Linked DNA regions of Arabidopsis thaliana. The protein of the gene in region 2 interacts with the protein of the main gene of each other region in a pairwise test. Each region holds a gene or a part of one and is shown on either strand. Other genes may lie near its edges.

Region 1 (5,729 bases), 6.6 Mb from region 2:
ACAAAATTCGCAACCAAAGAATAGCTATGAAACAAATAAGCAAGATTTCACAAACATAAAGAGCTTACAAAATTTCAAAACTAATGGGCTTTACTAGCAAATATAATGGGCTTTTTAATAAACCTTTTTTTAATAAGCCTATTAATAAAGATGGGCAAAATGTGTTTCTTTTTGTATCAAAATGTTGTCTAATTTTACTGATAAATAAGAATAAGAAATAGGGTAAATATTTGGAAACTATTTAGAAATACATTTTAATCTAATGGTAATGATTAATTCAAGATGTATATAATTTCTAGTATCTTTTCCCTAATAATTGATATTTTTCATTCATTAACACTAGGACCTTTTAGGTTTAACATCTTAAAACTCTATCTTAAGATGTTTAGATAAGTATTTGGGTTGTAATGATTTTCTAGGAAACACTAAAATAGTATGAACATAATCTAGTTAATCACTAGACTAAAAATCAAATCTGAATCTATGTACAAAATCTAAACTATACACATAAAAGTAGATATTAACATATATATTAATGAATAATATATAATTATATATAGATACACTTAGCACAAATATACACATATATTTATTTTGGATTGTTATCATGTGCTCTGTAAGAAATCATGCTACAATATACAGATGATATAACAGGATAAGAGCTATATTAATAGAGAACTTTGCATAAAAGTCGTTATCCAAAAAAAGAAAATAAACTTTGCATGAAAGCTAAACCAAATGCAAATAAGAAAATAATTGTATCTTAAAAGGATTGTTCTTAAACGATATAAAGGTACATAATTCCCTCCCACGTTAACCATTCATTGTGCATTGTGGAATTCCATTTGTATAATTAGTTTTGAATTAGATCATTCATTTCCTTTGAGTTTGATGAATAAAAAGTAAGAAAAAAACACTAAGCTTGGGAGGGTGGCTTAATTAAGCGTGTACACATAAACTATACTTTGTTAAAAAAAAATTGGGAGGTTGATTATGACTTATGAGCGAATAAAGCACTTTTGCGATAGTTATTGAACTTGCTAATCAAGTTGTTAAACGTGTGTATATATATAGGATGTGCATCATCACAATTCTCTCTAGCTAGCTCTTATTCGTATTATATAAAAAACTCAATAACTCTTTTTTGTTTTTGGTTCTTAAGATGCAATCTATTTATACAGAGATAAACACCAAAGCCAAGAAAGCAAGGACGAATGTAGACTATTTCTATACAGCTTACATGAAAGCCACTAACACAGATTTGGGAGACGAAGCGTTTAAAGCCGTGACAAACCCGATCCTTTCACAAATGGAGGAAATCATCAACACAGCTAAACATGTTGCATATCGCGTGGGAGTTATACGAAGTACAAATTCAGATCCTAATTTTCTTCGAGATCTTGACGAGGTAGACAAGATGGGGGATGATGTCTTTGAGAAATCAAAAACTGCCCTAGACATAATGCGAAAAGCGGTTGTTGATGCAAAGGAAAGGAAGAAAGCTAGAGATGAAGCAATAAAGGAAGAAGAAGAAGCAAGGAAAGAGGAAGTAAAGAAGAAAGCAAAGAACGAAGCAGGAGAGAGCAGTTCACACAACGTACCAACGTAATTAAGTAAACATAAAAAGTTAATAAGCACATAAGTATTTAACGAAGCATAATATATGTATTTAGTGTTCTCTTCAAAATTACAACAAGATAAAAAAGTAAATATATGATTATTCTTCATATGATATTTTACATTGGAAAAATGTTTATCACACAAACACGAAACCGAAATGCATCAAACAAAAACCGAACCGAACCGATATAGAGTTACATTAATCAAACCGAATTATAAATGGATCATAAACCGAAAAAATCAAACCGGAACCAAACCTTAACAAGATCATATCAAATACGTCGTCGTTTCATCTGAGTCGTCTCTCTTCACTCGCCGGAGAGAGAGAAGAAGAAAAGACGACGGAGAAATGGCGGAGGAGCAGAAAATGAAGCAGCTAAGCCGATTCTGGATTTGGGCTTTATCTTCCATTGCTTTCCGATTGATCTTGATCTCCTTCCCGGGAAATCTCAATCTCTCTTCCCGTCCGGAGGTCTCTACCCCTCTCACCAGCATTCGCCGCCGTATCTCCTCTCTCTTTCTCACTCCCTCATTAGCTCTCTAAGATCTCGAATTCAGCTCACATTTCTTCGTTTTGTATGAACATTTTCAGTTGCTGAAGGTTATTGGTTGAAGCAGGCATCGATGTCACCATATGCAGGTCTATCTTAAGATTTGATCCTCTGTAAATTTGGATTCTTAGGCTATTAGAAGCTGAAGTTGTACATATTTGAGCAGGATCTATGTATCATGGCTCACCATTGCTGCTCTCGGTTCTTGGACCTCTCACAGTTCAAAGGTAGTGACTAATCGATTTTGATATTAGGATTTGTGATTTATTGAGCTTGAATCATATGAAAACATGATTTTTTCCCACTTGAGTTTTATTGGAAGACAATTTGTGTGTTTGCAGGATTAAAGGGCAACCAAGTCACCTCTTGTGCAGGTACTTTTCAGTGTCCCTTCATTTCTGTGATCACATGTTTTTTCTTTCTTCTCAGATTTGAGCTAGCTTAAAATCTTAGGTAGGATTAGATTGTGAGATGTGAATTTGGAAAAGAGATGATCTTTGAATGATTTACTATTCATCAAGAGCTTTATAGTCATGTCGTTGCTACCAACATTCTCTTGGATACAGCTTGGTTTTTGTTATTGCAGATATATTAAGTGCAATGCTTCTTCGAGCTATTGGTCAGAAACTCCAGATGGCTTATGGACTGAATGCGAGACTACTTGGTTTTCTTAAGTCATCAAGGGATAAAGGTAGATTGAAGTCAGTTGTTGAATTTTGTGTATCATCTATCTTATTTCTACTCTTTTCTTGTAACTATTTACTTGAAGGCAAATATTGATCTCTCCTTTTTCGTTGTCTCCTCAGTGATCCTACCTTGTGGTGATATTGCTGCTCTTGTGTATTTGTGGAATCCTTTCACGATAGTTTCTTGTGTGGGCTTATCAACTTCTCCCATCGAAAACCTGGCTGTCATATTGGCGCTTTTTGGAGCAGTTACACGTAAGAAGATGATGATACTTGCATATTGTTTGTTCAATAGTTTCTTGAAATTTTATAACTGATGTTTTCTACCCATGCAGGACGAGTTCCTCTGGCAGCATTTGGCTTAGTCATTGCCACACATTTATCTCTTTATCCTGCTACTCTGACAATTCCAGTATGTATCATTTCTTATTTTATGTTTTTCACGTTTCTCAAATTAAACAAATTCTAACTGCTCGTGCATTTCCCACAGATAATCTTTCTATTGGGATATGGTTTGGATGCTCCTCCTATAAAATTGTTCCTTCAGACCAGAAGTGTAGAAAATGAGGAGAGTTCAACCTCTACTGTTTCTAAACAAGCCAAGTTGAAACAGACTACGCACCTTCCTTTCTTATGGAAAACAGTCGCACACTTCTTGTTCTGGGTACTTCTGTGGTCACTCTATGTGTTGATTTTATGTGCCTTATCACTGAATAAATATGGTGGGCTTGAGGAGATGTTCAAGAGGTAGCCTCTAACTTAGAAATCTTATTCATAACCGCTATAGGATTAGTTTCCGTTAGCCATATTATATCTATAACTTATATTCCAAATCATATAATTATTTATTAAGAACTTGCAACGTAGTGTTTAGGCGATTTGATGTTTGTTTGTCTTTGCCTCCTATTGTAGGACGTATGGTTTCATTCTTAGTATTGAAGATCTTTCACCAAACATTGGAGTCTTTTGGTAAGTAAAATAAATTAATATGGTGATATCATTGGGTGATGAATAAGGGATCCCTTCTTTTATGAAAAGACTATTTACTGTTCGTTTTAAATCTCGTTTTCAGGTACTTCTTTGCAGAAGTATTCGACTTCTTCAGAAACTTTTTTCTGATAGTTTTACACGTAAATATTCTGTTCATGTTACTGCCCTTAGCCATAAGGTTGAAACATCGGCCATGTTTCCTGGCTTTCATATACTTAGCGATCTCCTCGATTCTTAAATCTTATCCTTCAGTAAGTAGTTGAATTCACTGTGAACTTGAAGTTATCTTTTCTTCTTTGAGGAATTATATTCATAAATGTTAACAATGCTTTCATCATTTGATTTACTCTCAATAGGTCGGAGATTCGGCGTTATACTTGAGCTTATGGGCATTGTTTGTCAATGAGTTATTAGGTAAAAGCAAATACTTCACATCCTCTTAGCATTGTTTAGCCTTTGCATATAAACTCTGCTTCTGTTTCACATAGATATGAAGTTCTCGTTCTTCCTCTTCTGTGGATATCTCGGGATCTCTCTCCTCAGCCCTGTGATGCACAATCTCTGGATATGGCGGGTAAGCTTCTACTCAAATCCATAACCCAACTCTTCACAGCAGTTGCAACAAAATGTTCTAATGATCACAACTACCTTTGATTTTTTCATGACAGGGAACCGGAAATGCAAATTTCTACTTTGGAAACGCTATCGGCTACGCGTGCTTTCAGGTAAAATATAGGCCTGGATCCATTTCAAAATTCATTATTCTATTCAGTAGTTGGGAGTTGATACTCATATAGTACAAAATTTGATGATATCAAGCAGAGGATGATGAGATCATCAGTTATTGATCAAAGAATGTTGTAGTTTTGGGTTATCTTGACTAAAACCCGCATACGGGTTTCTGCTTTTCTTTACAGATCGTTTTCGTGGTTGAGAGCGTAAGCGCAATGCTAAACCATGACAGGGCGCTGAAGAGATCAAACTCAAACCATCGAGAAGTCAAGAGCTAAGCCATTGAAGGTCATTGCGCCACTTTTCTGTTACACGTAAAGAAAAGAGTTGGGTCTTTAGCTTAAAGTTGGCAACATGTGATTTGTGTGAGTAGCTTTTCTTTGTTTGAGAACATCATATAAATAACAAATCTCCTGTGCCTTTCCGTTTAGAGTAACCATTAATTTGTACTTTTTACCGAGAGGTTTTAAAGTTCTTGTTTTGATCCGCAAAGCACACAATCATCCCTATATTTGAAGTTACATCGCATGTATACAAGGTATTATCATTTGTGAATGGTGGATGATTAAAGGCATTGTCTATGTCCCGTACTTTATCCTTATCCACTGCACCATTAAGGCCTAAATGACACAGTGCAGGAAGGTTATTGGGTGGTGTTTGGTCATTGTTTTCTTAAAAGTCACCCATTCACAATAAATGAAGTGTGATGCATTATTAATTTATTTGTAATATCATAAAAACTTGTAAAACCCACGTGGTACCAAAAACAAAAATCAGACCCTAACCGTATAACTGTATTTCACACTGTTGAAAATATATGTTCAATTCGATCTTGTGACATCTGAAATCTCCTAAAAATTATGCATATATTGCATGAAGCTGATGTATGCATGATTGCATATCTTGGTATTATATATTGTATTGATGGCGTGTGGTGATGGAATTTCATGGCGTTTGGTGATGGAATGCGGTTGTGTATCGGAGCTGACTTCAGCAAAGTTCAAACTTCAAACTGCAGTTTTCCTTCATAGCTCAGTCACAAAATACAGTTTGAAACTACTCCTTTTTCATCTGTTAAGTTAAGACAACTAATGGTTCTTGATTTTGTAATTTTGTTTCTTGGATTTCATCAGATGGGAAGAAACTAGTG
Region 2 (5,493 bases):
GTGTGCGTTACTCTAAATTCTTTACCGATCGACCCTAATACTACTTTGATTGCTTTGCACTTGTAGTTTAGGAAATTAAAACTATATCATCATTGGTTGAGTTATTTTTTATATTATTAAAGTTCTTGAGTATATATAAAACAAAAGAGTTGAGGTATCAAAAAGACACCAAGCATGTGATATTATTCTTAAGTACTTTCACTCATTTGATTGTATAGCTTTTGAATGTAACTAATGTTATTTATTGTGTAACTAACTGAGAATTCATCGATTGCTTTGTAAAAGAAAGATCAGAATATTTTCAGTGTCATATCATTATTCTCGATTTGCTTTTGTTAAATTTTAATTATTGTTTTGTCAAGGTAAACATTGATTATCTTATTTGTATGGCTTCATTAGGCATTGTTAGCTCAATTTTATCTAGGGGATCTTTAGTTTTGGAGAGTGTTTACAAGAAGATAAACGATTTAAGAATTTGAAGAATTTTGGAGATAAACACAAAACATCTTGTAGCTCCTTTGGTTTATAGACTTCTAAAATTAATTATAAGTATTAAATGTTTAATACATCTCTACTACCTCAAGTGTCGAAAAAGCTATCCTTATACATGACTACTTTTAATCATTGATAGTTCAATGTTGTAAGAATTCTCGGTAGAAACATGATTTATAATTGAACACTTACACAAAGTTAACTAATACAAATATGACATTAAAACATTCAATTCTAATCTTAACCCTTTTAGCAGGAGTTTATTTTTCCCGTATGATCTCAGAATTCAGACTGGAAAGGTTTGTAGACCTTGAGATCACTAACAATGCCAATAACAGATCCCGCGGCCGCGGCTACGGACACAAAAAGACATGTCACACTCAAGACTTGTAGACAAACCCACTTTGTGCCCCATCTCGGAACATTCTTCTGTGCAATGTACATTTCCACTGGGAAATAAACCGTTAAAGGCCAAAAACCAATGGCCCCCAAGAGACCGACTACATCGTTAAAGAAAGGCATTAACATTGAGATCAACGTTGTTGTCATCACGAAGAACGTCCTCCATACGAGCCTGAAGAGATTCAAGTTAAAGGGCTTCCCCGGGAAGAGTTGGATCTTGATCTCTTTTGTGACGAATTCGCTCTCTGGAAACCTCCTAGAGGCTTCCTTCTCGACGAAGGCAAAGAGGGGTTGGCAATAGACTTGGTAAGCACCGACTAGATGGATCACTATAGCGAGATTAGCAATGTCAAGCAACCAATATGGGTTTCTAAACCCTCCATGAGCGAGGAGATTTCCGGGTGCGTTATCCCCAAATGCTGCATACCCTACACAGCCACATAGCATGTAGAAGACTGTAGTCACTGCCACACTTACAAAAGTCGCTTTTCTCATCGTGTTTACTTCGGCAGGCGGTGATTTCACCGTGTCCTGGATCATCAAATCGTCTAGTTGATTAAAACATCCTTTAAACAAACTCTTATCACACAAACTCGCTTAACAAATAAACCAAACGATGCACTAGTTGTAACAACGTTATTTTTCTTTTGAATCTAACTTAACATTATTTTCAAAAAAAAAAAAACTCGCGTAACAAAAATACCTGAATTTCGATGAGAATCATCGAGTAAGAGTACGCAAACGCAATGTTGCCAAGAGACTGAAATGTTCTCCATATTTTCTGCGACGATGTCACTGTCCCACTCAGTGTCACTGTCCCAACAGTGACTCCAGTGAGACTACCTTTAATTTCTTTGTTCTCTACCACTTTAGAGACACCAAGGCCAAGTCCAATGGCAGAATAAGCAAAAGACATGACCGCAGCGACAATGGAAAGCCACCATAACTGATCAAAATCAGGAATCTGAGAGAATATGATTTGTACAATACCAAACGCAATCATGTAAACATTTCCATTAACATGACAAGGATCATTTGGTCCATTCATCTGTTGGCAACTTGTCCTTTGGATTGCTCTGTAAATTTTTTATTCAAGAAAATTAGTTAACAAGTCAAACAATAATAGAGCCGTTCTTTCGAATCTTTAATGGCACAAAACAAGACTACATTGACTAAAACACTGCATTATTGAGCCAAACATTAATGACTTGTATGGACAATATTGAATAGCAAAATAAAACACGCATCTAACTTTTTTTGGACAAATGTGAACAATTAAAATAAAAAGAGTTTTGTGAAAGCAAAGTTTTAACTTACACCAAACTTATAGCTGATGCAATTGTATATCCAATTGCTGTACCAAATAGATTAACATATTGCACAACTCCACATACTTTCACCTTAATCCCACCTAAAAATGAATCAAGAATGAATTAAGTTTTTGATGATAATAACTATTGGGATATGGAACCGATATGGAGAACCAGAGATCGACAGAGATCAACGGTTGAAATGACAAGGCCAAGATACGGCAAGAAAATATTATTCTAAAAGATAAATGTTAAACTTTCTAAACTTCAATATTAACATTTATCTTCTAGAATAATATCTTTTTGTTATATCTTGGCCTTGTCATCTCAACCGTCGATCTTCGGTTCAATATCCCAATATATGCACCAAAAAGAAACCGAAATGATTTTTTTTTTGTTTACCGAGGTTGGAGTGAATAGCGTCCATGTAAGTGTAGTTTCTTTTGCCGGTAACAGAGTCACCAGATCGGTAACAAGAACAGAGAAGGGTAGATGTGTAAAAAGTAACGAAAGAAAAGAGTAACATAGCCACTGGACCACCAATCCAACCAATCTGAGCAACGGCCCATGCCAATGACAACACTCCTGACCCAATTACTGCTGTTATTATGTGTGCACTTGCTGTCCACACCGTCCCTAAACACCAATCACATTCAAACAGAATTTTAAGACAAGAACTGTAGTAACAATAAAGTCTGTTTTGTTTAACCGTTAATTTTAAGACAACAACTGTAGTAACAATAGTGTTCATACACTTTAGTAACAAAAATCATACTTTTCCATAACATCCACACAAAAAAAGAAGTAGGAATTTGTCACCCCTTAACAAACAAAGCCTATGCATATATTTACTGTAGATGTTTTAAATTGCAAGTTCAACAGACTCCGGGTTTCGGTTTGTATCCCGAAACCCGGAATTAAAAAAATTCCGGGTTTCGGGTTCAAATCCCCGGTTATAGGAAACAGAGACTAATTTTATATTTACTTTGATTCTTGTTTGAACAGATTAGAGAAACATAAAACATAAAATTAGAGAAAAAAAGAGAAATTACCGGTTCGCTTGGGACGACCATCATCATCGAATGAATCCGAGCTATGTTTCGGAAGAACATCCAAATCTTGAACATTCTGAACGACCATCTTCTTCTTTTGGTCGACAATAAGACCAAAATTTACTAAGAAGAATCCAAACTTTACCGACAGGAAAAACGGTTGAAAAAGTTTTACTTGTTTTGTGTTTTCTCGTATAGATCTTGAATTTTTTTAAGACCAGAAGAAGAAGTGAAATCAACGATTATTCAGCGAGAAGAAGAATGATTTTGACCAAATAAAATCAACGGTGACAAGAGACCGATGTTTTCTATGGACCAGAGATTATATAATTGGAAGAGAGTGAAAGTATAGGAATTGACAAAGTAGAGATTAGAAATGCATGATAATATAAATACTGACCAAAGCTTTTGTTGTTTCACTAATTTATAAGCACCGTGGAAGACGGAGACATCCAACTTGTAAGAAGGAAGAAGCAGAGGAAACCGCATGTGCTTTTTTTTTTTTTTTTGTGAGGACTACAAAAATAGTTTATCTTTTTATGAGAAAATGGTTTCATTGTTATACATTAGTGACAACAAGTGCAAAATGTCAAATCTTATAAATTACATATAAGCTAAACAATCAAACTAAATTTTAAGATTTTTACCTTTAAAATATAGATATTTTAATTTTAAATTTTAGAAACAATGATTCATGTCCTTATAATTTAAGAGTATTTGAGTAAATCAAAGTAATTTAAGAAAATATATAATTAGAGATATAGTAGTTTTTATTATTATTGATTATTATGTTATATGTACTTTTGATGTCAAGAGAAAGTTGAAGGAAGATTTAACTTTTGAAATTCGTTATATCATTTGTAAATGAACGATTTGGTGGTATACTTATATTAATATTTTAGAATCATTTATCATAGGCATTACTCAAAAAAAACAAAATATATTTAACATGGGCATGTGTTCAACCATAATTATAAACAAATTGATAAAGTATATATTTTATTAATTTGTTATTTAAATAATTAACGTTTACCATGGACTTCTTTCGTCTATATCTAGTATATTTCTAAAAACTTTCGGTTGGTTTTGAGGAAATGAAAGTGGAAACTATGTATAGTGGTGTTTGCATGTTATGAGTTTGGTCACATTATATACTCTTTTTTGGTTGATAGGTTCTCACAAATTGAAGTTACAAAACAATGTTAAATATTCTCGATTATTTTCCATTTTATTTGTGGAGTTTTTGTATGAACATGCAAAATACACCTCGATTAGATGAAGTTTTTCAACATAACATTGCTAGAATTGCTAGGATTAATCTCAATTCTTAAAAATTCCATAAAAGCTAAACATCAAACCAAATTTTAAGATTTTTACCTTTAAAATATAGATATTTTAATTTTAAAATTTAAAAACAATGATTCATGTCCTTAATTTAATGAGTATTTGAGTAAATTAAAGTAATTATAATTAGAGATATAGTTGTTTTTTCATTATTATTGATTATTATGTTATATGTACTTTTGATGTCAAGAGAAAGTTGACGGAGGATTTAACTTTTCAAATTCCTTATATCATTTGTTTTTTTTTTGTCAACCGGAATTAATTAAACTCAAACGAACCAATTCCGAGGAATTAAAAATAAAGAGATGCTAATAAATTTTTCTTTCTCGCTCTTAAATTCTTTCAAATACACTGGAAACACCGACCATTCGGTTGGAAAATACACTGTCGTTATATCATTTCTAAAGAGTATAAATGAACGATTTGGTGGTATACTTTACTATTTTAGAATCATTTATCATAGGCAATTAGATATTATTTTGAAAAAGAAAATATATTTAAAATTTTGATGGGCAAGTTTTCAACCATAATTACAAACAAATTGATAAAGTAAATATTTTATTAATTTATTATTTAATAGTTATTTAAATAATTAACGTTTACCATGGACTTCTTTGTCTATATCTACTATGTTTCTAAAAACTTTCGGTTGGTTTGAGGAAATGAAAGTGGAAACTATGTAAAGTGGTGTTTGCCTGTTATGAGTTTGGTCATATTATATATACTCTATTTTCGTTGATAAATTCTCACAAATTGAAGTTACATAACAATGTTAAATATTCTCGATTATTTTCAATTTTATTTTTGGAGTTTTTGTATGAACATGCAAAATACACCTCAATTAGATGAAGTTTTTCAACATAACATTGATAGAATGGGTTTCACTTTTTTTA
Region 3 (5,089 bases), about 12 Mb from region 2:
TAGAATGACTATTATATTTCTTTTGGGAGATAATTTTGGTATGAGCAAAAGTGTTCTTGCGATCAAATATGAGAGATCCGGGGCTTGTGAAATTATGTGACAGAATCTCATCCACAACATAGAGTTGTATATCATTTATCTTATCATATAATCCATAATTCACTATAACTTATCTATATATATTACATGATTGAAGAGAATCTGAGCACAGGACAAAAGACATGTAACAAAATCATTATCTATCTTTATAGATGAGAATCGGACCCATTTTGTGTCCCTACAAACTACACAAGAGTACTGTATGCACGCATGCTTCGGGAAAACTTGTTAATCAAATTGGATAAGAATAACGAAAATTAATTAACTTAATTAATATGGAAGCGTAAGAGAGGATGATATTTACATTTTAATATGCTTAGATTCGATATGTATATACAGTATATGCATGCAGTATTTCTAGTTAATCTCACATCTTACAAATTTTCAATAATATCTTGTTTGAAACTGTACTTTTACGCAATAAAGATTTCATTGACTTTTTTTTCTGATGCTGCTGATATGTTCTTGTCATATCATAATGTGATTCGAAAATTCGACGAAGTACGATATTGATAATTTCATAGTACATCGATCATAAACAATTACGTCCGATTAAATTGGAATCAAGAAGCGAAATAAAGCGCCTCCTTGTAAGTCTTCTTCCAATGATGCAGAACGTGTCCAAAAACATCATAAAAGACTACACGCAGTTCAGCTTCTGAAACGTGAACCGACATGAAACCTTGTCCGTCGTAGTAAAACCTCATCTCTTCTGGTTCAACGTAGTTCACGTCACCTCCTTTCCAGGCCTTGGATCCACCTCCACTTGTCATAAATTGTATGTTACTATATGCAACCAAAAATGGTGACATTTTATATCCTCCCGTACGTGGACCCTTACGTTACAATAATTGATTAATAAGAAAATAATTAACGAACAAATAAATAAATTTATTCTACCTGTCCACGCTGCTTATGTGCTCTAAGCAATGATCATGTCCGTTTACGTAGAGATCCACTTCATTTGCCTAGTAAATCGAGAACAAAAAAAACAGATTTAATTAGATAGATTTTTTCTATTGGTGCATAAACTTTATTATATGAATGGAATGGTTTTGTTACTTGGAGAATAGGTAAAAGGTGTTTCTCCAACTCAATGGTGTTCCCGTGGTGGCCTGCGCTTTTGATCGTATGGTGACCAATCACTATTTTCCACTTTGCGACTGACTCTCTCAACGCCACGTCGAGTTCCTATATTATTACATTATAGCTTTCGTTAGTCACTCGCTCGTAAAAAGAAAAAAAGTTGCATTGGCAGATTGTTCTCTAATCATATCGCATTACATACCTAATTAAAACGCGATTCCATTTGAAAATAGACAAAATAAAAGCTGCGTTTAACATCCAATCATAACTTTATAAAAAAATCCAATCATAACAAAAGAAAAAGGAATGTTTTGCCCAAAACACGTATATAATGACGTTCCTAAGTTAATATTAATTCTATTTCGACGAAAAAAGAAAGAAAGGAAGATTTACTTAAAAAATTGTTACCTTTAAGAGATTATTCAGATATGTTTGCCTAGGTAATACACCGCTCCAGTCATAAACATGCTTATTTGGTTGAATAAAGTATTTATCGACGAACGGAGTTGTGTCGACGAAGAACAAATCGACGATCTCTGTTCAGTTAACGAAATTAACAAAAATAAAAAAATAATTGGAGGATTAATAAAATATTTCTAACTTTTGAAGAAATATTATATAGGAGGAATTACCAGCATTTACAATGAAAGATCTCATGCAAACCCATCTGTTGTCCAGAGCTCTGAGCATAGGGCTAAGTTGTGCCCTGACGTCACCTCTATAATCATGATTTCCTAAAACTTTAGGTTAAAGAAAATGTAATTAACACATTGAACCACATATCGTTTAATAATTAAGATCCAACGACGAATGTACACATTGAACCACACATTTACCACTATACCAAGGTTTCTGCAAGCTCGGAGCGGTATAAATGTTGGTAAAAGAATCTTGAAATAGAGGATCGTGCAAGCTGGTTAAACCATTGTCGTAAAAATTATCTCCAGTAGAAATCACAAAATCGATATCTAATTTCTCTCCGATTTCTCCCATCTGTTTAAATTTCGTGTGAAATAATTTAGCATAAAATAACTAAAAACAACAGTATAAAAGAAAACATCAAACTAGCATAAAATTTACCACATTGAGTTCATCTGCAAAACAACAGTACAAACAAAAATCATATGTAGAATATCTTCGTACACTAAAGCTGTTTTCTTAACACAGACCGAATCTTTCAAGTTCCTCTAACATGACTTTCTTTCTTTTTATGGTATCTTATAACATGGTGTTCAAGAATTAGTAATATATATTGAAATTGAATAATAATAATAAAAAAAAGAAAAAAAAAGAATAATATAAAAACATAAGGGCCGGCATTAATATGAAGACCAGTAAATTTGATCCTCATATCACGTATGCTCTTGAAGGCATACGCATATATATGTTTACGTAATACGTATTAATTATACACTATTGAATTTGCATTATATATTTATATATATGCGTACAGGCGAGAAATATAGTAAATAACTTGTAAATGAAAATAAGAAGTAACCTGAAGAGCTACTTGGGACTGATTATAGGAGCCTCTTCTTCCCCAGTCTCCGATAACGAGAAAGCTCACTGTACCATCGGTTTTTGATGGCTGCAGTAGCCTGCGGAGCTCCGCCGTGGAACTATGGGAGGAGAATATAATAATCAAATTATAAACGTAAAATACCAAATTTACAGGTTTGTGTTTTAAGGTAGCCATTGAGAGATTAGAAAAGCAAAAGAGGAAGAAGATAAGGAAAGGAATGGTTGATTTTGTTGTGATCTTTGTGTCTCTATATATGTAGGTCATTTCGAGGTTGATAAATATGAATAAAAATTATTTGCCATTTTGAGAAATGTAGTCCATTTTTGTTTTCTATTTCAATCTTTTGATTTGTCAATTTTATTACAATAATTTGAATCGGTAATTTTTTTGTCACCCACTTTTTCAGATATTTATCAATAACGAAATATAATGACAAGATAAATTTAAATAAAATAAATAGCGGTTGAAAATTAGCTGTTGAAATATTTTAAACATAAAGAAATTGGATATTGACAGTTTAAGGATATTTGAAAATTTCTATTATCAGTGAAAATATACGTAAATTTCTACTACATTTTTATTTCTAACATTATACATAAACATATTATCTAAATTTGGATTATGACACATCAAACAACAGTATGCATACAAACTATTATTACACCGTGAATTCTGATCACACAAATTCTTTCTAAAATCGCATTTTAAAAACAAAATATACTTGAAAAAAATAGAAATAAAATTTACGAAGCTCGGGTATGTGCGTTGTCATACAAGAAGAGTAGAAGACAGCATAAACGCCCATGCCACAAATTTGTCGGAAATTGCAATTATTAGCTTTGAGTCACATTATTGATGTGAGTCTAACGAAAACTTCCAAATTCTCTCAATTATTGTTGACCGTTAGTTATTTTACAGTATAGTTCTGAACATAAAATAATGTGAATAGTTTACTAAATTCGTTCAACATATTAAAGAAAAATCAAAATCCCATTTATACAAAAATTTGAAAGTATATCCTTACTGGATATGAGAAAATAAATGCAAATGGGTTGGCCTATGTTATTGGGCCGATACCCATTTCTCTAATGAAAAGAAAGATCTATAAAAACAAACTTCTGCTTCTCGACTAGGACATTAATTCTGAGGTATGACTATGAAGGTATCATATTATTTTGTAATTCTTGGCCAAAACTTGTCACCTGTGTGTTTGTATGTTCTTACAAAAGAGAAAACTAATGAGCATTAACTTCTGCAACGTTTATTTTACATGTTTGGTCTTATTGCTGATTCAGTCTAGTTCGTCGAGTATTTTGAAAACAACTTGAGGAGTTAATCAAAAGAAACAAGCTTAATGTGGTATATATGTTCCTTACGACTATAGTTCCTATTAGTATGATGTAGTCAGCAAGATTGACTTATGATGACTATAGAAACTTCACTGAATATCTCTGGTGGTCCTAGACAGTCACAGTGTCCTACTGTATCTTTAGTTTGGTTCGCCAAGTCTAGTATCGGACCGTATAGATAGAGAGATGTCAATTGTGTTTATGTGTTTTTTTTTTCTCTCTGAAGCAAATTGATTGATCGATTTGTCAGCAATTCCTTTCGAGTCAAAAGTTTTGACCAACCAGCTTCTTCGTGAAACTCTCTAGCTGTATTCACACATACACACACACACCTAACAAAATTATTGAAACAGTGGGTTTGATGTAAAGCCTAAATCATTCAACCACCTCTCTCTATTTCTTTTTTGTTCTTTTTTTCTATGCAACATATGATTATATATTAGATCCATGTGATATTGCTTGAGTCTTTAATTTAAGGCTTTATAAATAGAACAAATATAGGCCTTTTTAGGTCAACACGTGTGTGTGGAAATGATGCTAATGCTTCCAAAATGAAACAGAATAATGTCGTCATGAGCTACTCATTTACAAGAGGATTGTTTTAGTGTTGGATTGGCTAATAGACTTGGATCGATATCTATAATATAGACCATATATATAATATGTTTAGCCTAAACAATGATATATATGTCATGTGACACTTATGTGTTTTAGCAATCACTAAAATAATGCAAACATTAATACATGTAGGTGAGTTGTGAGTTCAAATAATATTAGTCAATACTCAATAGTCACTGTAATTGATATTTTGAATGGCTTATCCTATGAAAATTTAGTACTTTCATAGAGAGAAAAAAAAAACAAATGTTAATCTAAAGACGACAATTTAGATTTTAGCAGTCGCACCAGAACTAGTACCAGGAAACATAAGATAATATATACAGGACTAGCTACTTCATTATCTTTACGTAGTTTATGACAAAGATTGTTGTATAATCTTCATCAGCTGACTTCTTTATTTATGAATGAAGTG

Evidence for each region. The genes of interacting proteins can lie anywhere in the genome.
Region 1: the proteins of AAP5 (region 2) and AT1G63110 interact in a protein complementation assay, tested with the Arabidopsis thaliana proteins (one large-scale study listed by BioGRID).
Region 3: the proteins of AAP5 (region 2) and PAP3 interact in a protein complementation assay, tested with the Arabidopsis thaliana proteins (one large-scale study listed by BioGRID).

What each region holds. Positions count from the first base shown.
Region 1 is NC_003070.9:23,402,901-23,408,629, forward strand, and holds AT1G63110 (GPI transamidase subunit PIG-U), read left to right. Parts: upstream 1-1,787; 5' UTR 1,788-1,969; coding exon 1,970-2,123; exon of another isoform or gene 2,124-2,212; coding exon 2,213-2,260; intron 2,261-2,337; coding exon 2,338-2,398; intron 2,399-2,512; coding exon 2,513-2,545; intron 2,546-2,737; coding exon 2,738-2,862; intron 2,863-2,977; coding exon 2,978-3,112; intron 3,113-3,192; coding exon 3,193-3,269; intron 3,270-3,347; coding exon 3,348-3,604; intron 3,605-3,769; coding exon 3,770-3,826; intron 3,827-3,929; coding exon 3,930-4,098; intron 4,099-4,203; coding exon 4,204-4,261; intron 4,262-4,335; coding exon 4,336-4,421; intron 4,422-4,515; coding exon 4,516-4,572; intron 4,573-4,764; coding exon 4,765-4,857; 3' UTR 4,858-5,219; downstream 5,220-5,729. Other genes in the region: AT1G63105 (uncharacterized protein), read left to right, coding at 1,241-1,609.
Region 2 is NC_003070.9:16,763,880-16,769,372, forward strand, and holds AAP5 (amino acid permease 5), read right to left. Parts: upstream 3,807-5,493; 5' UTR 3,345-3,806; coding exon 3,257-3,344; intron 2,841-3,256; coding exon 2,607-2,840; intron 2,560-2,606; exon of another isoform or gene 2,380-2,559; intron 2,306-2,379; coding exon 2,212-2,305; intron 1,971-2,211; coding exon 1,598-1,970; intron 1,426-1,597; coding exon 772-1,425; 3' UTR 513-771; downstream 1-512. UniProt on the Arabidopsis thaliana protein: Amino acid-proton symporter. Stereospecific transporter with a broad specificity for glutamate and both neutral and basic amino acids. Reduced affinities for asparagine and valine.
Region 3 is NC_003070.9:5,056,562-5,061,650, reverse strand, and holds PAP3 (purple acid phosphatase 3), read right to left. Parts: upstream 3,069-5,089; 5' UTR 2,972-3,068; coding exon 2,684-2,971; exon of another isoform or gene 2,266-2,683; intron 2,179-2,265; coding exon 2,022-2,178; intron 1,926-2,021; coding exon 1,818-1,925; intron 1,722-1,817; coding exon 1,594-1,721; intron 1,291-1,593; coding exon 1,162-1,290; intron 1,068-1,161; coding exon 1,000-1,067; coding exon of another isoform or gene 996-999; exon of another isoform or gene 886-995; coding exon 663-885; 3' UTR 511-662; downstream 1-510.